Linked DNA regions of Struthio camelus. The protein of the gene in region 1 purifies or fractionates together with the protein of each later gene. This does not show direct contact. Links are inferred from orthologs where the notes say so. Each region holds a gene or a part of one and is shown on either strand. Other genes may lie near its edges.

Evidence for each region.
Region 2: the proteins of EIF4G1 (region 1) and EIF4A2 purify together in Homo sapiens (affinity purification with mass spectrometry; 6 studies listed by BioGRID and IntAct, with this or other methods). This does not show direct contact. The link is inferred for Struthio camelus from reciprocal best matches to the Homo sapiens genes EIF4G1 and EIF4A2.
Region 3: the proteins of EIF4G1 (region 1) and EIF3B purify together in Homo sapiens (affinity purification with western blotting; 7 studies listed by BioGRID and IntAct, with this or other methods). This does not show direct contact. The link is inferred for Struthio camelus from reciprocal best matches to the Homo sapiens genes EIF4G1 and EIF3B.
Region 4: the proteins of EIF4G1 (region 1) and EIF3A purify together in Homo sapiens (affinity purification with western blotting; 4 studies listed by BioGRID, with this or other methods). This does not show direct contact. The link is inferred for Struthio camelus from reciprocal best matches to the Homo sapiens genes EIF4G1 and EIF3A.

The regions. Positions count from the first base shown.
Region 1 is NC_090950.1:22,673,802-22,680,702, reverse strand, and holds the start of EIF4G1 (eukaryotic translation initiation factor 4 gamma 1), read right to left. Parts: upstream 3,019-6,901; 5' UTR 2,893-3,018; intron 1,121-2,892; exon of another isoform or gene 1,060-1,120; intron 1-1,059. Other genes in the region: PSMD2 (26S proteasome non-ATPase regulatory subunit 2), read right to left, coding at 5,881-6,063, 6,146-6,264, 6,351-6,477, 6,647-6,741.
Region 2 is NC_090950.1:23,112,829-23,120,550, reverse strand, and holds the start of EIF4A2 (eukaryotic initiation factor 4A-II), read right to left. Parts: upstream 3,011-7,722; 5' UTR 2,679-3,010; coding exon 2,650-2,678; intron 1,426-2,649; coding exon 1,380-1,425; intron 1,291-1,379; coding exon 1,158-1,290; intron 1,030-1,157; exon of another isoform or gene 959-1,029; intron 882-958; coding exon 742-881; intron 1-741. UniProt on the Homo sapiens protein: ATP-dependent RNA helicase which is a subunit of the eIF4F complex involved in cap recognition and is required for mRNA binding to ribosome.
Region 3 is NC_090956.1:6,231,854-6,239,381, forward strand, and holds the start of EIF3B (eukaryotic translation initiation factor 3 subunit B), read right to left. Parts: upstream 3,010-7,528; 5' UTR 2,995-3,009; coding exon 2,445-2,994; intron 1-2,444.
Region 4 is NC_090948.1:7,407,554-7,415,274, forward strand, and holds the start of EIF3A (eukaryotic translation initiation factor 3 subunit A), read left to right. Parts: upstream 1-4,709; 5' UTR 4,710-4,879; coding exon 4,880-4,928; intron 4,929-7,721. Other genes in the region: DENND10 (DENN domain-containing protein 10), read right to left, coding at 415-631, 1,682-1,776. UniProt on the Homo sapiens protein: RNA-binding component of the eukaryotic translation initiation factor 3 (eIF-3) complex, which is required for several steps in the initiation of protein synthesis.

The DNA.
Region 1 (6,901 bases):
CCCAGGGGGGCCCACGGCCCCCCCCAGGGGCTGGCACTGCCACCCTGGCTGCCAGCACCCACGTGCCAGGGGAGCCCAGGCACCCTCCGGGCTCTCCCCTCGGGCCACGGCCCTGACAAACCCCAGCCAGATCCCAGGCGGGACTTGGCACCCGGTGCCGCTCTCCCTGCCCCAGTGCAAAGGCTGCCTGGGCAGGAAGGAGCAGAGGTGCCCCCCGCTCCGGGAGGTGCCCCCTTCACCCCCACGGCGGTTCGGAGCACCGGCCACGGCCAGGGCAAGCTCGCTCCCCGGCCGGACCACCCGAAGGAGCAGCCCGTCGTGCCTGCCTGTAACCTGACGCCCGGCCGCGTCAGCGCTCGCAGCCCTGCCGGCCCCCCAGCGCCGCAGGCAGGCTGCGGCTGGGGCGCGGGGCACCCCCCGGCCCCCCCGCAGGGCAGCGCCGGGCACATCCCACCAACGCTACTGCCCCGGCGCCTGCCAGCACCCTCAGGCCATGGGGTGCCCCATCCCCTGCACCCCCAGGGCCACGTCCCCAGCACGGGGGGGGGGGGGGGGGGGGACACAGAGCCTGCACGGCCTTTGGGGGACCCCAGACACCAACACCGCCAGCCTCAAGCCCAGGCAGGGATCAGTCCCGCTCCGATTTCAGGCCTCAGAGAAGGCTGCACCCTAGCGCTCGCCCTGTCCCCTGGCTCCCGGGGGCGCTGAGTGCCAGGCATGGGCCCCAGGAACCCGCGCTGGCACCCCACCGCCCAGCGCGCCCGCCGCGCGTGCCCAGACGCCCCTGCCCTGCCCTGGGAAGCGGCAGCGTGGGCCATTTTAAAAAGACAGCTTGGTGCTGGCACAAGTTACTTGGAAAAGGAAAGGGGAGGGGGGTTAAAAAAAACACGGAAGGGAAGGGAGCGGGGAACTCCTGGGGACAGCCACGCTTCCAGGACACTGCCATGCTCCCAAAACCGCACCGCTCTCCCCGCCACAAGTCTCGGCGCAGACAGGCGGCAAACCCAGCTTCCCCGGCCCCCCAGCACAGGCACAACCGGCAGAGAACTAGATACTCACCCCCCCGCGGGAAAAACCTGGGCCGACTGAGCGGGCCTGCAGAGACCTTTCATCCGACTGACTTGGAGAGAAAGGAGGAAAGAGAGAAGGGGGGAGAGAGAGAGAGGGAGAAAAGGGAAAGAGGGTGGGAGGGGGAGAGAAAAGTCAGCCTGCAAACCTGCCGGCGCTGGGAGAGGACAGCCCCGCGGCGCAGACATGGGGGACGCCGGGGCCCGGCCGGGAGCACGAGGCCGCCGGGGCTGGGTTGGGCTGGGCTGGGATGGCCGGGCGTGCTGCAGTGCAGAGCCGCCGAGCCCCGGAGCACCCGAAACCCCACCCACAGGCACGCCGGGCGCCAGGCCCCGCGCCCCGAGCCACCCTGGCGCGCGTGCCGCCAGACCCCCCCGCCGGCCCCCTCCTCGCACCGGGGAAACCTCCCCGGCCGGACGTGCACAAATAAAACATCCGGGAAGTCCCGGTGTGGCGGTGGCCCGTCAACGGGACGGATCTCCGCCGGGAGGGGAAGGGGAGCAGCCGCGGGTGGCGGGGGGTCGCAACGGGAGGGAGCTGCTGGCTCGGGCCGCCGTGCCCGCCGAGCGCTGCGAGACGCCCCTTTTCGTGGCCTCGGAGCGGCCGGAGCCCCCGGCGGGGCAGGAGGGGCCTGCTCCACCCACCGCCCCGCCAGGCGTCCCCGGGGCTGGCGGCCGACCGACCCGACCCGCCGGCCCGAGACCGTCGGGGCCGCGAGCGAGCGAGGCCGGGGCAGGCGCCGCCTGGGGCGTTTGGGGACGGGAACGGGGCGAAGCCCCCGCGCCGCCCCAGGCAGCCCCCGCGGACGCCCCGCCAGGCAGCGGCCTCTCCGGGGCCACGGGCCGGAGCCCGGCCCAAAGGGGCCGAGACCGCACTCCGGTGCCAGCTCCGACCGGGCCGCTCCGGAGGCGCCGCCCGTCGGTCGGTCCGTCCGCGGGCTCCCCTCCGGCAGGCCGGGGCAGGGGGCGGTTCGCCCGCCCGCCCGCGGTTTGACGACAGTGCCCGGGGCAGGACGGGCCGCGGCGGCCGGCGGCTGACGCAGCCCCCGGACCGGCCCCGCCGGCGCCTCCGGGGAGCCGCGATGCCGCCTCGCCGGCGGGGCCGCCCGACCCCGCTGCCGCCCCGCCGGGCCGGGCCGGGCGGCACCATCCCCGCGGGAGGGCGGCGAGGCCGCCGTGACACCGGCCCCGGGAGGCCCCGCGGCGCGGGCAGGGCCCCGGCCGGGCCGCCGGCAGCCGCGCCGCTGGGGGCCGGCCCCGGCACCGGGGCGCGGCTGGGGGGGAAAGAGGCCTCGGCGGCGGCCCCGCCGGCAGCGGGCCCGGCGGCCCCCGGAGCGGCGCGGCGGCCGGGCCCGGTGCCGCATCCGGCCGGGCCCGCTCCCCCCCGCGGCGGCGGCGGCCTCTGCCAAGGACACGTGTCACTGCCGGCCGCCGCCATGGCGCGCCGGGAAGCACCGGCAGCGCGGGCCGACGGGGCGGCGGCGGGGCCCGGCGAGCGCGCACCACGTGGGGCGGCGGCAGCGGGGCCTAAGCGGGGCGCGGCGGCGGGAGCACGTGCGCAGGCGGCGGCGGGCGGCGGCGGGGCCGGCACGTGGGCGCGGAGCGGCGGCGCCCGGGCGGGCCGGGCCGGGCCGGGCCGGGGGCGCCGGGTGGGGGAGGGGCGGGGGCCGGCGGCGGGGCGGCGCCCACGTGGTGGCGGCGGCGGCGGCGGGGCCCGGCGGCGCGCGGAGCGGCGCGGCGCGGCGGGGCCCGGCGGAGGCGGCCGGTGCCGGTGCCCCCCCGCCTCCCCCCCCCCGGCGCGGCGCCCCGCCCCCCGCCCGGTTACCTTCAGTCTCCTTCAGCGCGCGCGGCCCGACGCAGCCGCAGCGCAGCGCAGCACGACCATTTCCGGAGCCGCGCCGCGCGCAGGGGCGGGGCCACGCGCCGCCGCCGCGGGGGGAGGGGCGGGAGGCGGCCGCCGCTGCCGCCGCCTGAAGCCTGTCTGGGCGCCGCCCCGCCGCACGTGACGCCGGCGCGCCGGGCCCGCTCCCCCCCGCCCCCTCGCCCCGTCACGTGACGGGGCGGGGCCGGGTACGCGCCCCGCCCTCGCCGCCGCGGCGGGGCCCGCGTGGGACCGCCCCTTCCCGCCGTAAACCACGCCCGCCGCCGTGGCCACGCCCGCCGCCCCGGTCCCCCGTGCGGCAGCACGTGGCGGCGCCGCCGCGGCACCCGGCACCCACGCGGCACTGCACCCGGCCCCCCCGCGGGACACCCCATCCGGCACCGACCCGGCACCCACGCGGCCCCCCTTGGACACCACGCCCGGCACCGACCCGGCACCGACCCGGCACCGACCGGCCTCCGCGGGACATCCCACCCTGCACCCACGCGGCCCCCCGTAGGACACCCCACCGGGCACCGCACCCGTTATCGCACGCCTCCGCGGGACATCCCATCCGGCCCCTGCGGGACACCGCTCCCGGCACCCACGCGGCACCGCACCCAGCCTCCGCAGGACACCCCACCGGGCACCCATGCGGCACCCACCCAGTCCCCGTGGGACACCATACCTGGCACCCACCCGTCATCATCCTGGCCCCCTGTGGGACACCGCACCCAGCACCGACTCGGCCCCTTACAGGACACCCCACTCGGCACCCACCGGGATCCAGCACCCACCCAGCATCAACCCAGCATTCCCCCGGCACGCTGTGGGACACAGCACCCACCCAACACTTCTCCGGTTGCAGCACCCCGTGGGACATGGCACCCAGCACCCCTCCTGTGCCCTCCGTTCCCCTGTTCCCATCCTGCAGCCACCCTGCACCCCTCAGGACAGGACGTCCTGTCTGCACCCTGCACCCATCCTGCATCCAGAAACAGCGTCCTGCACTCACCCTGCACCCCCTGGAGAGAGCACCCAGACTGCATCCATCCCTGGGACGCTGCAGCCAGCACCAACCCTGCACCCCGCAGGCTAGGGCCCAGCACCCTGCACGTACCCACCAACCAGCTTTCCAGCCAACCTCCCCCCGTGCCCACCCTGCACCCACCTACCACCCCGGCGCTGCACAGCACTGCACCCACCACCCTACACCCACCCTCGTGCCTGGGACATCGCACCCAGCACTCCTGCAGCTGGCACCCATCCTGCACCCACCACCCTAACCCTCTGGGGTGGGACACAGCACCCCCACACCCTGCACCTGGGACATGGGACACAATACCCTGTGCCCACCCCTGGGGCCCAGTGCCAGCACCCAACCCTGCACCCCTCAGGCCTCACACGAAGCCCAGCACACCATACCCAACCTCTCTGCACCCTCGCGCCGGCCCCACAGGATCCCAGGCCCCAGCAGGGTGCCGAGCACCCTCCAGGCCTGGCCTCACTCCTGCTGCCCTGCGTGGGGCACAGCAGCAGGTCTGCGGGTGACGAGGCCCCCACCCCTCCTCGGGGAGGGTGGCGGGTGCCCCCGGGGTTGGGACCTGAGCCAAGGGAGGACAGAAGGATGCTGACACGCAGCAGCACAAAGCCAGGCCCTGGCTAGAGATGTCCCCAGGATCCAGCCACACTGTCCCCAGAGGCTGACGCAGGGCTGGGACGCTGGGGCAGTGCCAGGCACCTGCAGGGGACAGCCAGCAGGTCCCCTTTGTCCCCTTGAGCACCAGCAGTCCCAGGCACCCAGGCCATAGCCCCCACTCTGCGAAGAGGCCCAGCTGAGCTGCGGGACCCCCAGGCATCGGGGAAGCGCGCAGCTCGCCAGGCAGCAGGACAGGGCACCCTGCTTGGTGTGGCAGGGTGGTGGTACCAGTATTTTGAGAAACAGCTTAGGGTTTTCCTCTCTTTCTTAAGAAACTCCCCCCACCCCATCTCCTTCAGCTTGCCCCAAGAGTTATTTGAACCCTGATCCTGGTCCCACGAGGGCTCCAAAGGAATTGCACTCCTACGAGCTGCACCGAAAGCCGGCAACAGCCCAGCGCACCCCAGGGAGCAGTTGAGCCCCACTATCAGCCAGCAGAGACTCCACATGACGAGAGGCCCAGCTCAGGACAGGCAGTGCCAGACACCCACCTCACCACGGGACAGGGAGTCTGTGCTGACGCAGGCGCGGGGGGGAAGGGAAGTTGCACAACGCCGGCGTGGGTGCCACGCAGGCACGCCCTGCCGCACCGGCCACACGCGCCCAGGGCACCGTGCAGGCACGGACACACACAGGGCAAGGAGAAACAGGAGCCGGAACAAGGCCACGGCCTAACAAGGCCGAGACCCACACCAGTCTGGGAACTTGCACGCCTGCAGCCCCCCGTGGGGGCAGGGCGAGCTCACAGGGGCTCTCTGCCTTCACCTCCTGCCTCTTGGGGCCTGCACTGCACCCAGCCTCTGAGAGCATCAGCTACCCAAGGGCCCAGCAGAACCCGGGGAGCTGCCCATCACTGTCCATCCTGGCAGAAGCAGCAGAGAAAGGGTAACTTTAAGGGGGTCCGAACCTGCTCCAGCGCCACAGTGTCCCTCTAAGGGAGACTTGGCTAGGGCTCCGTGGAAAGGAGCCTATTCTTCCCTGCTCCGGCTGGGGGAAGATCTTGGCCTGCATCAGCTCAGGGCTCCAGGCTTAACATGGACATGGCCTCACTGCAGTGTACCCAGTCTGGCCAGGGCAGAGGGGATGAGAGCCCATCCTGTGCCTCCTGTGCAGGGACAGCATGGCAGCACCAGAGTCTCCGCATAGTTTATTTCCTCAAATCACAGTAACAAACAAATCACCTTCTCCCCCCCCCCCACCCCAACCACCTGCCCCGCGTCCTGTCCCCCACCCTATCCCCATTCCCCGGTAGCTCAAACATCGTAGTTGGGGTTCTTGCGTAGGATGACGAATCCCTCCAGGATGGGTGTCACGGGCACGTGCTCCTCTGTGGCCAGCTCTGCCCGCTCTCCATGTGCCAGCAGCACTGGTGTTGTGTGAGTCTGGAAGCCAGTAATGGTTTTTGGCTTTCCTGCCTGGCCCACCACATCCACAGCCTGCAAGAGAGGAGCGAGATGAAGGCCAAGAACACACAGGGACCCCCAAGCACCCTGTCCCAGGCTCTGGCTGCCCCCTTACCTGTCCTACCCGAACCGATACAGGTAGAGGTCGCAGCTCCTCGTCAAAGGTGACCAGCATGCGGGGCTGCATGGCAGCAACGAGCCCATAGAGAACGTAGTGGGACTTGCCCAGGATAACTGGAAGGAAGACGTAAGGGTCAGGGCAGAGCCCATCCCACGGAGCAGAGGGGTGGCAGGAAGGGGGGCGGCCCCACAGTACTCACTGTTGCGCACGTCCAGGAAGGACACAAGGACAGTCAGCAGCCCAGCCACAGCCACCTGGCTCATGAGCTGGCGATCGCTGTGGTAGGGGCACAGGGTGAGCGTCCCCTTGCCCAGGTGGGTCAGCCCCTGATGGGGTAGAGAAAGCATGAGAGAGAGCTGTTAGGCAGCGCCTGGGACCCCCCAGACCTGCCAGCCAAGGGGGTGACAGCCCAGGGACAGCACTCCCCTCCAACGCACAGGACAGCCACCCCAACCTCCCCTTCCCCTCCACAAGCAGCAAGTGTGGGATTTTCACCTGGGCCAGCCGCACCATGAAGAGGTTGTTGGGGTCTTTGGCGTGGTACTGGGCAAGCTGCCGCAGCATTGCTGCTAGCCGGGCATTGTTGGTACCTGGAGAAGAGGAGGTGCAGATAGAGATCAGGGAACACAGCCACCACGGCCCTAGTTTTCCGCTTTCCCCTCCTCAGGGTGCAGGGCATCCAGCCACAAACCCTGGGACAGGCAAACACGCAGCTTCCAGCAAGCCCAGTTCCCTCCACCCGAAAGGCCT
Region 2 (7,722 bases), about 440 kb from region 1:
TAGTTTTACTTTTAAGGAGAATCTTCACTTAACACACGGACATTGCAGTGTATTCTAGTTGAAAAATAGCAAGCTGTATATAATCCATTTTCTACTCCATTTTGAGTTCTGTCCCCTTTCAAGAATTCTCTTGAAAATTCTCTATTCTCTTAATTTTTAAATCCACTCAAGCTAGGTTTTCAGTTCATCCTAAAAACTGCAGTATCCTATAGCTTTGTTCAAGCACTTCCACCGAGTAAAACAGAACACCACGTCTTGGGAGAGTGAAGTAAACATGCAATATAACATTTGTCAGAAAAACATCACAAGTTACAAAAACAATGAACTGACCACATGCGCACTGCAGTTTTCATGTTGCACAACTGCACGCAAGTTCAAACAGCTTCCAAAAAAGTACATTTTGTTTCCACTCAGAACACTGTGCTTGAATAACATGTCTTGTATTTTGCCATTCTGCTGAAGATGCTCCTTCAGAACTATAAACAGCATAGCAGCTGGTACCTGCAACCCTGCCCCAGAATACCCTCCACATGCATGGCATCTGAACTTTTCAAAAGCAGGCAGAGAACTTGTGGGACAGAGGCCAGTTTACTTCCCCCATCACTCAACACAAAAAGGGTTCTGAATGGATATTAGTTACAGCCCCTTAAGAAGTCTGTTAATTGTCCCACAGTTGTGAAACCTGAAACCTATGCAACACACAAGCAGCTTTTTTTTTTTTTTTAACTACACTATCAATACCTGTTGAGCCAGTTCTCTGGTAGGGGCCAATACTAGTGCTTGGGTCTCCTTGAGATCAATCTCCAACTGCTGCAGGATGGAAATAGCAAATGTGGCTGTCTTGCCAGTACCTGACTGAGCTTGAGCAATCACATCATACCCTAAAAAAAGTAGGATATACATTTACTGCTCCCACACAGGTCATTCATGTTTAGTTTTATTTTATTCCCTTTGAAATAAGTGATCAGTATTAAAGAGTTCTCTCCATTTCAGGTCAGTCCCGAAAGATGGTGTACCATCATGTCACTTGTTCAGTAAGGATTAAAAATCAGTAACATCACACACTAAGAAAGCTAACAGTATAGCCATTTTACAACACTTTCCTAATTATCTGATGTTGCTGTTAACAACAAAGGAGTCGATTATACTTTTCATACCTTTGATACATGGAATAATAGCTCTCTGCTGAATAGCTGAAGGCTTCTCAAAACCATAAGCATAAATGCCCCTGAGAAGGGATTCTTTTAAATTCATATCATCAAAATTGTCAACAATCTCATTCCAATTGCTCTGCAAAAAAGAAAAAAGTCAAATTATTACAACAATCACACTTATCTCCAGCAATGATTAAATTCTTAAGTCAGATCACATGTGCTCACCTCAATGACACCATCGGGGTCCATTCCCTCTGGGCCGCCATGGTCTCTGTCACCAAAAAAGAAGAAACTGTGAACACAGTAGTTAATAACACACGGAAGGGAGCTGGCACTTTGGCTGCCAAAAAGCCACGTTGGCATCACACTGGAACCAGTGAAAGATCTTTCTAGCAGGTGCTTTGATATTTCGCCAGTGCAAAGTCTTCTATCCTCTCCCCACTAGCATGGGTGCCACTAGCCCAATTCCTCAGTCAGCTTCAGTCACTACCAAAGTTCTCAGTGTGACACAGGATCGTCAAAGCCTTCGTTCCGCAGGGAGTCTTCACAGCGGATTTCCGATTTTAGAAAACCGTTCCCCCCCAACAACGTGGCACAACTCCCGATGAACATTAATTCCTATAAAAACCTAGCCGACACGGCAACAACTGCATGTCCCAGTGCACAGCGCCCCCCTCACGGAAGGCATCCGCCCGAGGCGGGGCTCTGCATGCTGGGCTCCGCAGCTCTGGCGAGCGGCAGGGAAACGGTCGCCATTGCGCACTATAAGCCAGCTCAGCCGCAGCGCCAGGCGTCGGGGGGGGGAGGGGGGGGACCCGCGGCTCCGCTGCGGCACGCACCCCCCCCCCGCCCCAGCCGCGTCAGAGCCGGGGAACTCTCGCGAGAGCTCCACCCCTGGGATTGCGCAAACCGGCTACGGTGAGCGAGCGGAGGAAGGCGCCGGGCGAACGCCCAGCGGGCCGCGCCCCTCCCCCCTCCGGAGAAAAATGGTCTCGCCCTCAGCCGGGCCCGCAACCCGGAGCGAACCAACGGCGGAACCGGTGGCGGGGGAAGGATCGGAAAGAGAAAGAGAAAAGAAGAAAAAAAGGTTTCGGGGAAAGGCACCTTTATGAAACTGCCTTTTTAAGCCATAGCGCAACGCGACGAGCGGAGTAAAATAAAAATAGCCCTTTCGGGGGGGGGGGGGAAGGGGGGGAAGAGAAGGGGGGAGAGAGGAAAGCTACCAAGAGAGCCAACGGCGAAGAAACGAATCCCAGGGAAAGGAACGAAAGGCTCGCTGAACCCCGAGGAAAAAAGGAAACGGGACGGAAACATCTAGAACTGGGAGGAGCCGAGACGCCGGGCGCTGTCTAACCGCCCTCAGAGCCCCGTCTCGCGCGCGCGGCCACCCGCCCCTACATCACCTCGCTCCTTTCCCCGCCCCACCGCCTTTTCCCAACTCATCGACCTACCGTACAAAATATAGGGCCCAGGGCCGCAGTGCGCCGCGCCATACCTGCTATAATCCGCGGAGCCGCCTGACATGTTCCGAACACCAGCTCTGTCCTCAACTGAAAAGGCAAAGCCTCCGCGGCGGCCGCTTTATATAGCCACCCGCTGCCGGACTCGTTTCGCTCTTCGCCGCGCATGGATATGCGTCTCACACCACAGGAAAAAAACCATGAAAAACCCCCGTTTGAGGCCACTCCGCAAGAGCTTCCCCTCGACACACTTTACGAGATCCTCCACAGAGGTTTCTGAGCCTCTCGGGGCCAAGAGGTGAGCCGGAGCCTGGCACTACTTTTCCTCGCGGAAGGATATTGCAGCATTGACGGAGTGACTGCGTCTCCCTCCTTCCTCCTTCTCCGCCCCCCCCCTCCCGCTCCTGCGCACGGGGTTTCCCACCCGGCCCCTGCTGCAGTGCCGGGGGGCGGGGTAGAGGGGGAGCGGGGCGGGGTGGGCGCTGCGTTTCCCCCGCCATGTCAGCGGTCTTGGAGCCCGGGGCTGGGCGCGGGGCACCTGGCTTCCTCGGGGCGGTGGAGCTGGGCCGCGGGTCGCCCTCTCCGCCCCCCCCTTCCCCGGCGGAGCCAAACGCAGGCCGCAGCCCTCCCCCTCCCCCCCCCCCCGCAGTCCGGTGAGGGGAGCGGCGGCGGCGGCGGCGGCGGGAGGCCGCGAGGTGACGGGAAGGAAGATGGTGGCGCCGGCGGCGGGAGGGCGGGAGCCCCCCCCCTCTCCCCCCGGCCGCGGCTCCCTGCCGCCGCGGCCCGGCCCACGCGAGCGCTGCGGTCCTGCGTGGAGACCGCCCCCGGCGTGAGCAGACAGAGCCGAGCCGGCTCGCCTGTGGGCAGGGGAGGCGCAGGCAGCGATGCTTCATCTTCCTGGCTCCGAGGCGGCAGCTGACTGAATCATGCAGATGGTTCTGGGGTGTTAAAAGTGGAACATTTTTAAACGGGCTGAAGGCCTATTTGGGGAGCGTTTGTGGGAGTGAGGCAGAGTGCTCGCTAGGCTGCTGCTCAAAACACGGCGCGGTGATGTGCTGCGGCTCGTGGTGTAGCGTGAAAAATGCTGTCAAGGCCCGTGTAAAGGTTAGTGCAACCTGAAGTCAAGCAGAACCGTGCCGTTAGGGGAGGCGTCGTCGTGCGGACTGAATCAATGACACGGCTAGTGGCCGTGCTCCTTGCTTTCAGGCCGTTTTAGAAAAAAAAAAATACTGATCCTTTTAATACACTGATCAGGTTTTTACCGTTCATCGGTATTTCTTAAGTAGGCAAATAATATAAGCTGTAAGCAGTGTTTCCCTTCGTTTTGATGGGTTTGTGTGTGTCACTTCTGAAGTTGTTTCCATAGTGATTATATATGAACAAATGGAGTCAATGCTTGAAAAACCCAGCCTTTTAGGAATTATCTAGAATATCCATAGAGAGAATCTTTGAGAGGTTAAATATATATTAGCTCTTTTCTATGGTAGCCTCGACTGGGGCAGTATTATCTGTAGAGATAGCACAGGATTTGTCAACATCCCAACTGAATGACAAAAACATAGCTCTTCTGTTGATCCACCATAATGCTTTCAAGTTTCTGCCCACGTTTGGTGGAAAATATCGAGGATGCTTCTTGCTTCTATTTGTAATTTAGGGAGCCCCACAGTAATAACTGGGGGTCTTTTTAAATGGATGATAGCAGATTACGTGGAGCCATAAACCGCAAGTTATCAAAGAAACGGGATGGACTGAAGAAAGAACGTTGTAGGGCACAAGTTAGGGCAGGCATGGTTAGATTTCCTATTAAAAATGACATTGGGTCCAGATGGAAGAAGTAATGCTACTCAATTCTTATTTTTGAATTAAGAATCATGAATGCTTATTAAGAAAGCAGAGAATGTATATACATATTATTTAAGTATTGCAATTAGACCTTCGTATATCTGCACACCTAAGTGAAAAAGACGTGTGAGAAGCTCAGGAAGGTACGCCATCGTTTTCCACATACTTTAAATGTATTTTTGAAACAATATTGCCATCTTAGAATTAGGTGTCTAGTTTTTTTTTTTTTTTTTTGTCCTCTGTACTACAGAAATTAAAAAAGGAAAGAGTTTGCTTTCATTACCTTTAGATAAGCAAAGGGTTGGAGACACTGAATCAGTTCTGTCTTTATGTGATGCACTATAGCAAATATCCGGGATTGTCATCCTGGTAATGACCATAACTATACCGGAGATAAAACTGGGAACATTTTATACTCTTAAACCTTGTCCGTGAACACAGTGTTTGAGAAATATCTCTTTGATGATAGTAGGGCAAACACACGTTTTATTTTTGATCTCATACCTAGTTTGTGTATTCGTACAGACTGGAGGTAGCCATGGTCTGCCTGGGGTTATGTCTATTATGAACATGAAGCATCACACTGAAAAGTGTCAAAAGGTAACATCACAGACAGAGTCTTGGATTAATACTGGAATTTATTATAGCCTCCTCGCTTTAAATCTTAGTAAACTTTCTAGAGCAGTTTCGACTGAAAACTTGCTGCCTACGGACCAGGTTCATGTTATTGTTAGGCAGAAGAGATACCAAAAAGTTACTAAATCAGTGTTTTGTCTATCCTGCCAGTATTAGGATCCATGGTCACAATTATATGCGCACGCTGTATTCTTCAGTGGATGTCTCTACAGAAGACAAATCTTGGTGAATCATGAGACCTTCAGTGAGAGTGAACGTAATTACACACTTATTAACACAGGGTAGCAGGTGGACTGGCTGGTTTAGCAGCTGGGTTTCCAGTCATTATTCACGCAGACTGAAGTAAAGAATGAAGTATCTAAAGAAAACGGTAGGAGATGACACCTCCCAAAACTGGGCTTCAGATGAGCGGTCCCTGCTCATCAATATTCTGGCAAAGGCAATGTTACTGTTTACATGAGAAAATTTCTGAAATCTCATTTCAAAAAACTTATACCATGAGTTAAATATACAGTGAAACCATTGTGTACTCCCCTGGAAACCGGAAAGGTCCTGAGTTCCTCTCCTAGATTTGCAAGTCCTGTGTTAGTGCACATAGCACCTCTTATTTGACTGCCACAACTAGCAGGGCAGAGAAATAATTGTAGATGGTCAGAGGTTATTCATAGCAGATCGTGTTGAGGATCAACATGTCCTGTTAGGGTGTTGTTAGCAAGAGGTAATGTCTTTCAATTCATCATTGCCAACGGAACCTACCTAAGCAAAGGCATGCTTCCTCGGACGTAGGAGTGAAAAGCAAAGGCATGCTTCCTCGGACGTAGGAGTGAATAGCAAAGGATTCTGGAAAATCTCCAGGAGAGAAAGACTAAATTCTAAGAGACTCTTGCTTGTTATTTAAATACAGTCATAGGGTTTCATTATCTACTAACTTAAGCTCTTTTGTCATTCTACTGAAATCATAATCTAAACAAACTAAATAATAGTAATTCGTAAGATGCAGTGACTTTAATGCACCGACAGGCTTCCTTTATATCTTTAGTACCTCAATGTAATGTGAAATCCACATTATGACATTTTCAGTATATTAGGCTGCTAGGTTTGTTTTCTTGTTCTTTTGCAAAGTTATTTTACAGCTCTGTTATGAGCTGAAAGATATTTCTGCTCTTTGTAATCAAACTTGTTTGTGTTGTAAAATCTCAGTTATGTTCTCATCAAGTGAGTGAACCTCCAGACAAGGAATTTTCTCTCCTGATAGAAGTTTCGTCTCGCTGAATAGTTGTGCTTTAGGCCAATACGGAACGTTTTCAAAAATGCTTAAATAATTTAGGAGCCGAGCACTATGGAAAACCAGTGGGATTTAGGCCACTTAATTTAATTGTCCCACGTGCCCAATCTAGTCAAGCTATTCAGACTCCTGTGAAGGACGTGGGTTGGATAGGGCCTTTTGCCTACCGGCTGACTCTGAAACGTGTGCATGGTGGTTTGTGGCTTGTGCTCCTTTATTCCCTAATAGCTTCTGAGCGCAAGTCTCCAAGGAGTGTCCTTGCTTCAGTTTTGCATAATTTTGTTGATTAGTGGAACCTGGGAATCTCAGCTATATCCCAGAGGGTCAAAAATCTAGCCAACTAAGAAAACTTAAATATTTCTTATATTTGTAGGAGATAGCTATCATTCGATCCAGTGCCCTTTGAACTCGTGAGAAGTTTCCTGTTGCCTTCAATCAGCATTAGGTTGGGCTACTAATAAAAAAAAGTAATATTAATTTAGAAAATAAATATTTCCTTTCTAAAAGGAAGTTTGTAAATTGCTGTTAATTCTTCAAACAAATCCTAAATAAGAAAACTATAAAGAGGGACCATTTATGGTGGTCTTGTGATTTTAGTAACTATTCAGGTAATGGGAAGAATGTTGGCACCGTAAAATCTCAACCTAAGTACTTGCAAGAGAAAAACATTTTTTTTCCTATGATTTTCTGTAGTTAGTCATTCAATCCTCTGCGTGCTATAAAACTCAGTGATCATAGTTTAAAGTCTTGAATGTTCTCCTTGACTGAGAGGTTATATTCTTTCTTACTAAGGTTTGTAGCTGGGCCCAGGGCACAGAGTCAGCTTAGCTCTCTTCTCTGTTCCAGACTTCCAATGTGACCATAATCATGTAATTTTAGCACTAAAGCTGCACAGATGATATTGATTGGACTCTTGCCATTGATTTTTATTGGAATAAAATCAAAACTTTGTCTGCACTTCAGTTTTCCCCTCTTTAAAGTGGGGGTAATGGTATTTGCCTCAGAGGTTACGTGTGGGCAGATGTTTGAAAAACATTGAGATCTGTAACGGGAGGAGGCTTAGAAAGTCTTTAATAGAAGTTGTATGCATACTTTCAGGGCAGTTTGTTCTTTCTATTGCAAGAGTAAAGAAAGCTAGAGAGATTAAGCAGGTGGCAGCTGCTGATAACATCCTGAAAGAGTACTGTAGTTGCATTTATTTTTCAAGTGAATTGGAAGACTTCTACACTACCATGAAATGCTGCATGTCACATATTTCTGTTAGATGCAGTGTGCAAAAAACAGATTTTTTTTCCAATTCTGAGAAAACGTAATTTGAGCATATGCATTCTTTTGGAAAAAATAA
Region 3 (7,528 bases), on another chromosome or scaffold:
TAGAATATTCTTCCAGTACTTAGCTATTCTCCAGGTAGTTAACTACACACCAAAGTTAGGGATAGGCTAATCAATCGAGTAGGATTTAGGAGACATGCACTGAAGCGTCTACTATGCCTACAAAAGTAAGGACTGAAGGAAGGAATTTCAAAATCTAGTATTACAGTAAAATGCCAACATGTATATCTCTTACGTACCCAGTAGTCCCATATCTTAGATTTTTTCCTAAATATAACATGCAAGAGTGCTCTACAAGGAACAGCAAGGTCACTTCCACATAAGCCTCCAACAGAAAAAGAAATATACGCAGAAGGATTATTTGTATTTAGGCTCCATTAGTCTTTTTTTTTTTCATAACCACTTCCCACAAAAGACTTTGTAGGCCTGTAGATCAACCAAGTAATACGTATTTAGATTCTTGTGCAAGTACACACAATACACCTGTACTGAATGAGAACTGTAACAGATGAAAGACAAATACCTACACTGTACCACACTTCTGCCTTAAGTTCAAAATTGTGAACAAAGGAATCTTCAAAGAGTAAGAAGCTGGTCTAGCCAGCTCCTACTCCACTAGGAAAGGAGGGTGTGGTGGGTATACAGCTACCCTCACCTGCCAGTTTTAAGGACCATTACCAGAATCTGAACTGAAGCTTCATTGCACCAAAGCGGTTATCTGACACATCCCTTCTTGCTTGAACTTGGATCAGCTGTTCTGCCGTGCCAACATCATTCTGGAAAAACGTTAAATAAAGTAACATACCCGAGACGGTCCAATCCTAAAGCTGCTCTAGTTCCAAGTATTTTGAAAAACGTGATGTTACATTAAGCATTATAATAGCCCTGGCTCTGTGACACTGACGGACTGCCTTTCTCCGTAGGGAGTTGTGAAGGTAAAGAGAAAGGAAGGAGACAGCTCAAGAAATAACACGTGCACGTGGAAAAGCCAAACCAGCAGTTTTAAACACTGTAAATTGGTCACTAAAATGATGTCACTCATATAGCTGAAAAGTTAATCAGATTCATCCTTAATAATAGAAAGCGTGAGGATGGGCAGTCTGCCTCATTTGGGGAAAAAGACAGAAATGAGCATAATCATCCCAAGTGTAGACAAAGCACATCAAGCAAACACTTGATTAGACCAAAAGAATCTAGCTATACTCCTGCAGACAATTTTGCCAAAGTAGATTTAAGAAACACAGAAGTGAGAAGAGATACAAACTGCTGAATTCAGAAAAAAATGTTTTCTTAACCTATGATACTCTCCTGATCGTCCATTAAACTAAACATAGGACTGGAATACTAGAAGGCACATACACCACCCACACTTCACTGCCAATCGAAACGACTGACTTATGAACGAACTACCAAATGCTGAAAGAAACATTTTCCAGTTCTGACATACATAACTACTACAAGAGGCCCATGAGATCACATATGTCAGAATAAGTATTGGTTAAAAAGATAAACACTTCTGCTGTTCAAGAAGTGAAATAGTTTATCAAGAACGACTCATCTGGAAGAAACAAAGATATTAGAGCTCTAACTCCCTTACACCAAAATTAGTTCTTCCCATAATTATCTATGTAAACACACAGGGGTTCACTCATGTTAAGAGTCAATATCCAGTCATTTTAAAGAGCTTCAGTCTGAACTTTCAAACATCAGAAACAGCTTTTCCATATTTTCTTGCCACAGAGTACCTATGACAACTCTTACTGAGCAGTAACTCTTCTCAAACTCACGCTGTTCATCTGCAGAATTCCATATGGAGGTGTTGAAAAACAAAGAAGTCGAGTTCATTAAATCTCATCGACTATTTAGAAATTGTTTTCACAGTTCAGGTTAACTAACAGAGCCACACAGAAAGCACCCAGGTTGATGATTCCACTTGGTCGGGACAGCCCATGGATCGATACTTAGGTCTTAACGGTAAATTTAAGAACAACGGCAATTAAGCAGCGTGGCAAGGTGCACAGATACGCAAGAAGAAATTGCGCTTAAGAAGCGTTGCTACAGTGCAGACGTCGTAGTTGGTACAACCATTGCGACCAGCACTGCACCGCCGTGTAAGGCGGGCCGAGACCGCCGTGCGCCCAGCAGCCGCCAGGCCGGCCGGACTGGGGCGCGGGCAGAGTCCCGGCTGGACTCTCCGCCTCACAACGAGCTCCTGCAGCGGGACTCGGTCACAGCCCGCTGGACGCAAGACGCCCCCGAGGCGCTCGCTGCGTTTGTCCCCGGGGCCGCGCAGCACTGGCGCGGAGGAGCTGCGCGCTCCCCAGCGCTGCGCCGGGCCCCTCTCCGCCTGCCCGCGGCGGGAGGCCGGGCCCAGCCGGCCGGGCTCGACGGCTCCCCGCGCCCCGGCTCGGGCCTCGGCCGCCTCCGCCTCTCCCTTCCCGCGCGGCCAGGCCCGGGCCCGCCCGGCCGCCCGCTCCCGGCCGCACCTTCGTCGCTGATGTCGTCCACGAAATCCTCGGGGTCGCTGAAGGAGAGCTCGTCCTCGGGCTCGGCGGGCGCCGCTTCCCCCTCCCCTTCCCCCTCCTCCGCCGCGCTGGGCTCGGCCGGCGGCTCGGCCTCGGCCGGCGGCTCGGGCCCGGCCTCGGCCTCGGCTACCGGCTCGGCCTCAGGCCCGGCCTCGGCTACCGGCTCCGCCTCGGCCTCGGCCGGCGGCTCGGGCGCGGCCTCAGGCCCGGCCGGCGGCTCGGCCTCGGGCGCGGCCTCCGCCTTCTCGGGGCTCTGTCGGCCGGACGGCGGCTGCGGCTCCGGCTCGGGCTGCTCCGCGACGGCGGCCTCCTCGGCGGCGAGCGGCGGCTGTGGTGACTCGGGAGGACCCGGCGGCGCCTCAGACTCGCCCTCTTCCTGCTCCTCTCCCGGCTCCTCTGGCTGCGGCTCCGCGGGCGGCGCGGGGGGCCCGCCGGGCTGCTCGGGCTCCTCGCCGGGCCCCTCGGCCTGGGGCGCGGCGGCGGCCGCCGGGCTCTCCTCGGTGTCCTGCATGGGGGGGGTGGGGGGCGGCTGCTGGGGCCGCCGCCGGCCGCGCGCTCCCACCTCAAGCGCGACGGACGAAAGGAGCGGGGGAGGGGCGGGGAGGCTCCTACCGCCGGGCCATGTGCGCGCGGCCCAGCGGGCACCGCGCGGCGGCGCCGATCAACCGGCGGGGGGGGAAGCCCTCCCCCGCCGCAGCACCCGCTAGCTGCCTTTCTTCTTTCCACGCCGCTCGGAGCGGGAGCGGAAGGAGAATAAGTCACTATCTCCCTCGCCTCCCGCTGCTCCCGGGGCCAGCGGCGGTCTCCGCTCTTCTCTGCTTCCGGTGGTCACGACTTCCCCCGTTTCGCCCCTCGCGGTGGTTGAGTCCAACATGGCGGCTCCTTCCAGCCTCCCGAGGTGGGGTTCGCCTGAACCATTTTTGGGAAAGTGGAAAGAGGGAGGCATCGTGACATTTAACTGCACGGACGGCACATGAAGTCTTCCTGCGCCGATAACTCGGCGTGTCTCCCTGGTGAACGGTAGGGCGGAAGATGACAGGGCAGCACCCTGAAACGAAACCCGTCTACGGCCCCCCCTACAAACGCTCCGTCATGGGCTCGCCCGAAGGGGCTACCAAGCTTATGGAAGAGGGGGAGGCGCGCGGTGCCGAGCCGACACCCTCGCGCTTGTGCTCAGGCGCGGGTAGAACCCGGCGGGGGGAGGGGGGGCTGCCCCCTCCCCGCGAGCGGCGCCGCCGCGCGCCATGGTACGGCCCGGCGGCGGCCGCCACATCAGCGCCGCGCAGCGCCCCCTGGTGGCGGCGCCCGGACGGGACGAGGCGGGGCGGGGCGGGCGCCATGGCGGGCTCGACGCCGGCTGCTGGCTCACGGGACACCGCCGCCAGGCCAGATGGGGGCTGGCTGAGCCAAGCCGTCCCCGAGGGTTGTGTTTCTCCCTACAAGAGCTCTATAGTTTTTAAACCGCGTTTCCCGTGAGGTAGCGCCGGCTCCCGCCTTCCCCCGTCGCCGCGGCGACGCGCCGGTTGACAGGAGAAGCGTTGGTGATGGACAGCGAACGCGCTCCCGCACGGCGATGCCGCCGGGCAGGGGCTCCTCTCTAATGTGCTCCAGCGATCTAAAGTGTTACCTTGGCTAACGTTAACATTTTAGTATGAGTTTTGCACCGGTAACGTTCCTTCCTCTCACCTTGGCTACCACCGTGACTGACCTGCTGGGAGAGCTGACCTCTCTTCGTCGACCAAACCGTTACTTTCTGTTAAGGGCACTTCGGGCTGACGCAAACATATGCCGAGTGCCACTTTTTCGGCATGTGAGCCAATATGATGACATCCAAAGCGGCATACAGGAAGGCTGCAAAGGCAGAACCTGGAATTTGTTTTGGATACCGTCTTGAGGTTAGAATGACGTTTCCAGAGGAAACAGGTCAGAGCAGTTCTTGCAGAGCAGCGCATCTGCTTCAGCTTCCAAGGTGAACTCTTGCACACTGCATTTTGTTTTTGGCCAAGCGCTTTCAAACAAATCATCAAAACATGTAGAATAAGAATGCGTAAGAGTTCATTAAAAGAGCAGAACAACTACGGCAGTTAGCATTATGCATTCAGACCCTATCTCATACGGCAGTATCTCATATGGCAGTATTTTTCCTGTTTAGATAAAAGTATGAGAAAAGAAATTTGAGAAATGAAGCCAAGAAAACCCAGTTTTATAATTTTATCAGCTAGTCACAAGATGTCACCCTAACTCCATTCAAAATGCAGTTGGTTGCGTTTATCTTGTCAATTCTGTATTTACACTGTGCGCTATGCTTATGAATGGAAATGATGACCGGCGCTTTGTGAGGTGATTTTTTTTTCCCCACATTATATCATGATAGTTAACCAGACTCTGACTTTCTGGTTTGCAGCAGCATTGACACATGCAAATGTAAAGAACAAAGCTGAATTACCTCTCCTGCCATCACAAGCATATATTTTTCCAAATGCGAGGACATGCAGTGGTTCAATCCACAGTCCCAGCTGGGTCCGCATGGCTCTTCCAAGACCGTATATTTGGTCTCTGGCCTATGTTTCACCATTCTCACAATAGTCTGTATTGCGGGAATAGACAATTTCTGCATATTACTTTTCTTCCTGTTTGTAAGCTATCAACTACTTTTTAAATCACTTTGGTTAAACACTGGATTTAAATGCTGGATCCTTCTTTCCTGTCTTTGTATAGTCTGCTGTTTGCACTTTCCCTTACTTTACAGCAACTTTTAACTTATCTTTTCTTCCTTCCTTCCTTCCCCCCTCCCTTTCCTTTCTTCTATTGAAATTTTCCCCCTGACCCTGTGCTGCTATCTCTACCTGCTATTCTTTGTCTTCCAATCCTTACTCAGCAGTCTCAGGGTGAGTGGAACAGCTTCTTACAACCAGAGATTTTGGGTACTGGCAGCTGCAGCCCATTCCTGGAGATATTCCACATACAAAACTCCTAATAAAATCAATGAGAAGTTTAAGAAAAGACGTTCAGCAGGAATGGCTTCTTGTAACACGTCTGTCAAACCAGAAACGCCTCATACATTTTGCTGAGTACATGTGATCTAAGAATAGTGGAGCTGAAAGCACCGATTTCTAAACTGAATTCTGAAAGAGTAAGCAAACTCTAATTTTTATGCTCTCTATGAAATTTTATCTAATACTGATAGGATGTGCATAGAATGACCTTTTGAAAGATTGGAGCCTTGGGTAATCATGTACTTTTGCCTTCATTACATTTGTGACCCTGAATCTACTGATACCTGTCCTTTCTTTCTTTTTTCTTTCTTCCTCCAGTGATTGTAATTTCTTTATGCTACACATTTTCCAAGAGCCTTTACTGCAATCACACACAAAAAAGGAAGAATTAAATAGCTTATGTCAAAGACAATCTTTTTGGCCCTGCTCAAAAATTATTTCTGCAGTTGAATTATTTCATTCGCAGTCAGTATTTTTCTTCAAGATTTCTGCCATGAGCTGCAAAAACAATCTTCAGTGAAGAATGTCTTATTTATACCAAATAAATAATTATGCTTATTAGCTTAAGTACAGACCAATCAAAGATCTATAGCTAAATAAGAATATGTTGATTCTTCCATTCATTTTCTCTAAAAATGCTATATAGGCGAAAAATTGTGTAGCGCTGAGTTTTCAGAAGTGCTGAGCATGCAAAACTCTCCACTCGGCTGCTGTACAAACATGGTTTGAAGGGCCTCTCAGCTTAAATAATACCATGCTTTTTTAATTTTATAAACAGCTTTAGTCTGCACCCACGCTTGTGGGGATCTCTGTTGAAATAGCAGCTGAGGCAAGAGGTAGAAAGAGAAAGGAGAATTACTCGGTCATTCAGATCTTTGTAGCAGGATGCAAAGTTTTAAGGGAAAATACTATGATCGTAATTACTCAGACCTAAAAGAATTCTTACTTTATAATTTCTATGTTTTAGTTCTCTATGTGTAGAAGGAGGATAATTACATGTCTTCCAAAGATTAATACATATAAGGAACATTAATTAGTGAATATGTGTCCAATACTTTAGCTATTAAAAACATAAAGTAGTATTATGGATTGGTAACATTTTAATCTGGAGATCTAGAGTCTATACATATTTTTGTGTGTCTTGCTTGTTTGATGGTGTTTTCAGGAAAACCACTGTGCAAAGCATATGCCTTATATTTCACCTGTGTCACACATATCATTCCAGACTAATAAAGTGTAAGAAGGGGAAAAAAATACTGGTAATAAAATGAGAGTTAGTAATGTCTGAAATTCTTATTTTATGCAGTTTTAGAAAGTGTATTTGCATTCCACATGTTTATATTTCTATGCTTTACTGTGTAGGACAATATTGGTTTCTACTTTGTTTGTTTGTTAGTGCACTCTTTCTGGGTATACGCAGTAGTATAAAATGTTACAATGGCTTTTCCTTTGGAAAATTATTAGTATCAGCATTGACTTATCCACAATGATATTTTATAAAAATCTCCATGCATCTGAAATATCAAAAAAAAATGAGTAGAGGAAAGATCCTCATTGCATGAGCAGATGGCAGCAAAAATTAAGTGCCATAGAAAAAGGCAGCTCTATGAAAGAAAATATACTAAAAAGTTTTCTTGGAGTATCTCATCTGTCTTGAAATATGAAATACAGTCCTCCCCCAAATCAATCGCTATGTGACTGAAAGGTCTGTGTAATTACTACTACCTAGCATTTATTTCCTCATCGCAGCACACAATGAAATCTGCCTGGAAGTTCACATTCCCAGCAACCATTCCTGAATGGCAAAGTGGTCCTTTCCAATTTTTAGCTAAAATTTGATTTGAATTTGGAATAAAGCCTGTATCAAACCCATGAGCTGATCACTTCTGAGGTTTTTCTATGCTCTAAGATGTTTGAAAGATTTATCATTAATCTTGAAGTGGTTTAGCAGTGCTTTGAGCAATCCAGTCAACAGCAGGGAAAGGTTATTACCCCTTCAAGTGTTTGAGCTCCTATTGTGAGAAAGCGAACATATTCCCAGTAACCTTG
Region 4 (7,721 bases), on another chromosome or scaffold:
GATTGCTTGACCAAACAAAACCAACCGACCAACCAAAAAAAAAAACCCAAAAACTTGTTGGACTTAAAATGCAAAGTAATTAGATTGATGGTTATTTCACACCATTATTTCTGTTCAGTCTGCTTTAATAGTCATTACAAATTTAGATCCTATGTACCTGAATCTCCCTACAACTCTAATCAGCATACATCTTTGAGAAGACTGAGATATGTGGACTAGGTAAGAATAACAGCTGGGTTGCATCCATGAGCATACAAAACTTCGAATTTTTTCCCTTCCTTACAGCACATAATGGTGTGTTTAACACTGCTTAGATATTATATAAAAAAAAAAAAGGCCGGAGAAAGCTCTACAAAAATCTTCCTTGTATACTGCTGAAAAACAAGCAGGAGGTGTGATAGCGAACAGTCCTACCTTTTTCAAGGCTGGAGAATCTTGAACTTCCACAGTTGCGATGTAGAACCATGATCTCTTATACTGGCCAAACACAAAGGCATGAAGCAATTTATTCTCATCTGTAAGGCAGCATTTTCTCAGCAATAGATTCCTCAGTTCAGCTGTTACGGACGGATAACACCAAACCCACAAAGCATCTCCATTGGTGTCTTTTTCTACGGTGGAAAGATGTTCACTGTGAGAACGCCAAACAGCAGTGAGGAAGTAAATCGATTGGTTAATCAGATTTGTTTCCTGGAATCAGATTAAAATTCCGTTTTACACTGACCCTAGGCATCCAGTTATGCTGCTGCTGCAGGCAGCTATTGTGCTACGAGTTTACTTTTCAAACGCTTATAAAAAAATCCACTCTTGACCTGCCTCACGAGATCCAGGACTAACTCGAGGAGTTTGAATAACACATTTATATAAGCAAGGTCCATAGGAACCAGATCAGCGTATTTACCACGTTTCCTGTTTTTCTCATTTCTGTTCTCATGGCCGAAACCGAGGAAGCCATGAACTTAAGGCTCCGGCTGTCCTTCGCGCTGTTGAGTTTCGTTACAACAAGACCAAACCGCGGCCCCGGCGAGCACGCAGCCCCCGGCAGAACCGCAGGACACGCAGCATACACGCCAGTGCTTCACTCTCGCCGGCATTTCGGGTGGTTACAGGGGCGTTTTAAGGGGGGGGGGGGAAGCAGCTTGCAGCGCGGCGAGGCGCCCGGGCGCGCCGAGCGGGGCTCTCCGGGGCTGCGCCCGGCACCCCGCCGCTTTCGGGCGCCGCCGCGGGGCCGCAGAGCCAGCCCGGCCCGCCCGGCCCGCCCGAGCGCCGCCGCGCCGGGCCGGAGAGCCCCGCCGGGCCGGGCCGGGCCGGGCCGGGCCCGCCGCAGCCCCAGCCCCAGCCCCAGCCCCAGCCCCAGCCCCAGCCCCGGCGCCGCGGCCCTTACCGACCAGCCCCACGCCCAGCAGCAGCTGCGTCTCCGGCTCTGCCATCTTCCGTCTCCCGCCCGCAGCCCCTCACCCGGGCCCGGGCCTGAGCCCCGGCCCTCGCCGCCGCCTTCCGCCCGCCGCCGCAAGCCCCGCCCCGGCCCGGCTCGGCCCGGCACGGCCCGGCTCGGCCCCGACGGAGCAGGCGGCGCCCCGTGTCGCCGTCGCCGTCCGCGGCGGGGCCGGGCCGGGCCGCCTCGCCCGTTGCCATCCCCTGCCGCCCGCCACGCGTCCGCCCGCGCTGGCATCGCGCTCACCCCGACGAGCGCCACCGGCTCCTTTTCTCTCTGCTTCTCCGGCCCTGCTGCCTGTCCCTGCCGCCCCTCCGGGCTGCAGCTGTGACGGCTGGCATCCGCTGCAGCCTGTCTCCTCCCCGGCTCTTTTTCAGTTACTTTTCAATCTGCTTTCGGGTAGAAAATGAACCCCCTAAACCCTTTGTCCGTTTCTTTGTGTCATTATTTTATAGATTTTTTTCATCACCTACATTTTTTAGCTCTGTAAATCACAGGATACAATTTATGTATTTTATTTATAAAATACAGACAAAATATATTACAATTTATGCAACTGATTTATTTATATATTACACAAAATAAGGTTGTATTGCTCACAGAATTTTCTTACTTTATCATCAACCATCTAGTCCTGTAACATCCAGAAGCTGTGCCTGATTATGCTTCATACGGAATGAAGCACAGCATTTACAGGCCTTGCAAATGCTTCTATAAAGTATTCATAAAGGCCTGTTTATGCTTGAAAGATAGCCTGATTAAGGTAGGGAATATTCATAAAGCATAACAGCTATTTCTGAATAATTCCGTGCATGGATGCGTTTATTCAAGAATAAAAGCATCTTGTTTTATAGTTTGGATTAACTGAACTGAATATGCCTGAATATTCCATATGTGAAGCCATAGTGCACAAAACACGCTAATAATAGAGAGCAGTAACAGATTTGGAATAATTTGTCACATTTCCAAAATACCCAGGATAACTAGAGGAGTATCAGAAGAAACAGTCCAGTCCTGGGAGGGGGGCCAGAGCTGTCAAGGGTCTCGCCTGGCAAGGGAAAGCACCAAAGGGTAGTCTCTCAAACGATTTTCACACAGGCAGTCTTAAAGCATAAGCATTTAGTATGCTTATCCGCCATTTAGCGAAAGACTTAAGTAGTCAGATAGTAAAAGCTGTTCCTGATACAAAGTTGTCTAAGTCAGTCCTGGAGGGCTTTCAAGAATTTCAGAGAGATTCAAAGTGAAGACAGTGGGCTACATAATAGCAAATGATGGTATTAAGTAGCAATAAATACAAAGTAGCACACCTGAGCTCTACTACCAGAGGGTGTAAGGCCCTAGGACAAGCACTGGCTGCTGTGATAGGGGCACAGGCGGCCTTCAGATGCTAGGAGGCTGCTCATTCAGATCTGTGTAGTGTCCGTGTTCGGTTCTCGTCTTACAGACTTTTAAATTAATTTTATGAACACAAAAAAAGGACTTGTTCAACACTGTGTGTAGCTTAACGAACTCTACCGAATGTGTAAATGTGGTTTACACATGTGGTTTACCTAGACTGCGGGAGATAGTACAGAACGCAGATTGTATTAAAATAACATCATATAAATCAATAGCGTGCCCTCATGGGGAACACTGCGTACAACACTGGTCACCTGATCTCAAAAAGACACCAAGGACACATGGAGAAACTCTCAAGCAAAGAGAGACTGATAAAGCAGATTTTTTTTTCCTTTCCTCCAGAATGGAGACACATGCAATAGAGTGAAAAGGGCCTAGTGTGGAGCACCAGGGGGTTGAGTTACATGGATATACTGATGACGCTAGAACTTCCATACATTGATTGTGTATTTTTCCTTCTTATTTTAATTAGTTTTCTATTTAGCAATAAACTGGGATTACAAGACAACATTAAAAATAATGTTTTAAATGTGGGTTGCATAATAGTCATGAAACTTTTCTGGTGGCCATGTAAGATGGTAACTGCAAAAAGTACACAAAAAGAAATGAAGTAAGACTTCTTGTTTGTAAACAGAAAGTACACAGAAAGAAGTGTACTGAAACAGAAGATCAATAGACAACAATAGGCTGTCTTTAATCATCATACTTCATCTAATTTTAGAAAATCATACTTAGTCATACTTAAGAAACTGGTGCTAGACAGCTGGGTCTGCAGAGGGTCACAGCTACAGTCACGAGGTGTTATCAGCGCTCTTCTAGTGCAAGGTCTGCATTTCTGCTGAAAGACTAAAAACTCTTTAATGTTAAATGCCTCAGTGGAGATTCACTCTTCTGGTATTTACTAACTCAAAATACCGTATTTGTCACACATTTAATTGCTGCTCTTCTACTGGGTGTTTTTGCTGCTGTTATATGACTTTCATACACTTTCATAGTTTCTGTTGTTTTTTCCAACTGCCAAAATAGAATTTTTCAGTGAGAAAACACAGTCGCATTTCTGAAAAATATGCACTGACACTGGTAGCTATCCCACATAAACTCACATTACTACTCCTGCACAGAACTAAAGCTATTGGAATGCCTGCGTTCCTCTGAAACAGTTTCCCAAATTTTGAAGATAAAACTTTCATCAGAGGAATGAAGACATGGAGACAGAAGCAGGGCCTTTGTGCAATTTCTTAACCACTTCAGAAGTACTATTTCCGAACTGGCTGAACAGGTTGCCAAGAGCAAATGCGCGGCATGTATAATGACTTCTCTGCCAAAACAGTCTTCCACGTTCAGCTTATTTAGCTAATTCAAAAACCTAATTCTAACTTAGCCTAATGTCTTCACGGAGCTCCGCAAGCCAGTTCCCTGATTTGGAGGACCGCTACCCCCACAAAGGTACCTGGCTGGGTCAGGAACTGTCCTTACCTGAGTGATGTGTGCGGCTTGTAACCTAATAACACACCACCTGCCCCCAAGGCCACCTCCTGCAGACAGACTGGTGCCTCTGTGCCAGGCACTCCTGTCAGGAAGCGCAGCCACATCTAGCAGATTTCTCCTCCTGTCACTTCTCCCGGTAGCACAGCCCCGGTCTGGGTTGAACCAGCAGCTTCACAGATTCCCAGTCCGACGGCAGCTCTCGGAGAGGACCGCCGCGGCGCACGTGTCCGTTAGGAACCGATGGCGAACACCAACCGCCTTAACCTCACACGCCGTCTTGTACTTGGCGGCCAGGCCCGGGGCGGGGAGGGAGGCTCCGGACACCCGCCTCAGGGCCCGGCCCGGCGCAGCGCGGCCCGCCCCGCCCGGCCCCAACGGTCGCGACGCCGCCCGGCCCCGCGCGCGCCCGCCAGGAGGGGTTTCCGCTTCCGCAGACGTCAGCGCGCGCGGGTCACGGGGGCGCCCTCCCTTTCCGGCCTCGCAGGCTGCCTGGCTGGGCGCACGGAGCGAGCCGCCGCCGCCGCCGCCCTCGCTCTGTGAGGAGACGCCGCCGCCATCATGCCGGTGTATTTTCAGCGGCCCGAGAACGCCCTGAAGCGGGCGAACGGTGGGTGCGGGCGGCGCCGCGGCCCCGCCAGTGTTTCTTCCCCCCCCCCCCTCCCGCCGCCCGCCCGTCCATGGCGGCAGCGTGCGCCCCTCCCCTCCCCCCCCCCGGCCGGCCGGCCGGCCCGGGCCCGCCCCGCCTCCCGCGCGCGCCGTCCCGCCGCCTCCCCCCCCTTCCCCCCGCCCGGGCGGCCGTTAACCGCCCCGCGCCGCCGCCCTGCCGTGAGGGAAGGGCGCGGGCCCGCCGGCGGAGGCCGCGCCGCATGGCGGAGGCCAGGCCGGGCCCAGGCGGCCGGGGGAGCAGGCCCGGCTCCGCCTCCCCGCCGGGCCACCCTGCGGGCGGCGGCCGGCCCCGGGCGAAGGGGTCCCGGCGGCTCTGCGGCGCCGCTGCCTCTGCCCCCTGGCCGCCGCCGGCGTTGCTGTGGTTTGTGAGGACGGCGGGTGGCTCTGCTCGCCCGAGGGCTGGCTCCCCGTCTGCTCCCCCCTGCGCGGCGGCGGCGGCGGCTCCGCTGTGTCCGGCCCGGCTTCTACGTGCGCTCCAGGATGGTGTTTTTGTTAAACCCGAGCTGGTCCCAGGACGTGCTTTTTCCGTGTGGGCTTCGGATTTAGTGATCCCACCGCTCATTAGTGACTCTAGCGAGAATGCAGATAATTAAACTCCTTAAGTGTTAGGCAGGCTGATGCCTTTCAGGTTAAACATACAGCTTTAGCGTTTCTTTTTTTATAGCAGCCTATTTTGATTGGTCAACAAGAGACCACTTAGACTTCTCATCAGTACAGGGCTGCTTGCAAGAAGCAGATTTAAAGACATCCCAAAATTACAGAGGATATATGGATCTTAGAACGACACCTGAAGAGGCTGGGTAGTCTGGGAATTCTGTTTAGCTCAGGTGTTCAATTTTCTAACAACAAGAAAATGTTAAATAAAATACTGAATATTCTCAACGTTTCTAGTTTAAAGTTATTTTTAAAATCATTTCTGCCTAAACAAAAGAGAAAATCAAGTCCAGTAACTCCAGTGAGGAAGTTGTATATTAGCAGTCTTTTTACTGGTGAAGTGCATATATCAAAGTAGTATATTCTCTACTTAGGAGTTCTGAGGTTTAATTAAAGTTGGTGAGGAAGTCACATTGTTACCTTACTGACTAAAAACTGTTCCTTAAATCTGAGATTTTATCTTTTCTTTCCTGGAATTAAAGAACAGTGTAAGGTTTTAAATTGACATTTCTTGTACTGCTGCAAGTCCATTAAAATCTGATGAGTTGAAGGACTGGGAGAGAGAAGTGTACTCTTGACAAACACAAACAAACCTAAACTTCAGCAGACTGACTAGAAAAAATGACAAGAAAGGTCAAGGCTTTGTAAACTGTGGAGGCTTCGATTTAGTCGTATCTGAGTATAAAAGAAGCTGAGAGGGTTAGCTTGTTCCTAAGCTAAATTATATGTCATGGAAAGTACTTTAATGTTAAACTGATATTTCAAACTTGGGAAACGCAGTGCAGCTTCCTGAGTTCTAGTTTTTGTGTTTATATGTAAGGCTTAAGTTAGCATTTAGAAGTATTTTATGCTCTGGGTTCCTCGGTGATTTCAGCATACATACAGGATGTTTAGAAGCAAAAAGAGCTTGAATTGTTGTAGATGTGTATATTTTAAGAAAGATTGTTTTTCCTCCCAAACAACAGATGCAGGTCAAAGCCAACCCATAGCTGTTGCTAGTATCTTAGCCAGCTTCTGTAACAACTTAGTTTTTTCACATTGAAACTTTAGCTTACTTAAGGACTTGCCTTAACACTAGTTTAGTTGTTCCTATGTATCAGCTAGTTTATGTCCAGTCATAGATTCAATTTTTGTTTTTTGGATACCTTTTAACATATATAGCAATATAACCCATGATATAATGAATTGGAAGGAAAAAAGGCATTCTGATAGCTATTCAGGAGCTAACATTTTAAATTTGCTCTGTTACAGTTCTTTTTTTTCTCTAACTTACAGTTTCAACAATACGGTGTAGTGATGTGTGCTGTCTTTGACTTTTCAGGTTCACTTTGCTTTTATGAAAGTCTTTGTTAAATTAGCCTTAGTTATTTGACTTACTGGCAATAACTTGCTTGACCAGAATAAATTAAAATTTCAAAACAACTTGAATTAATTTTGTACTTTGTCCAGTTGGTTATCAGCCACAAAGAATCGTGGCTGGAGCAGCCTAGCATTGTTGCAAGAATTCAACTTGCTCTTCAGGTTTATTTTCATAAATAAAAGACTGTAAAGCTGAGCAGTAATTGCTTCAAAAGCAGCTCTGAGACAGAATAATGGCCTAAATTATAAGATGGAGTGTAACTTTATTAAAACTTTCTTGGTGAATAATTAAAAAAAAAAAAAACTACTGAAAACTGTCACGTTGTAACCTTATTTTTCTGTAAATATAACCCTAAACTTCATCTGTAAAGGAACAAGTTCATTTTAGGCAAGCTCATTATTTAAATAAATTAATCACCAAATATGTGGAATTATGGTTCATAATTAAAATATTATTGCTGTTTTTGGACTATAATTTTTAGCCATGTTTGGCTTCAGTTCTGACATTCCAAATCCTAGAACTCTGGTTATATATATATACTTTTGAAAGATTCACGATGAGCGCACAGCAAGCTCCCTCCTCTTTTTGAAGCTCTGTTTGTATGCCTGAGCACTGTGAACAGGTCCTTACTTTCCTCCTTTAATCCATTCTGACATTCTTTCTTTAGGAAAGCAGTCATTTCTAAGGTACTTTATGGAAAGTAGTCCATACTTCTTCCTT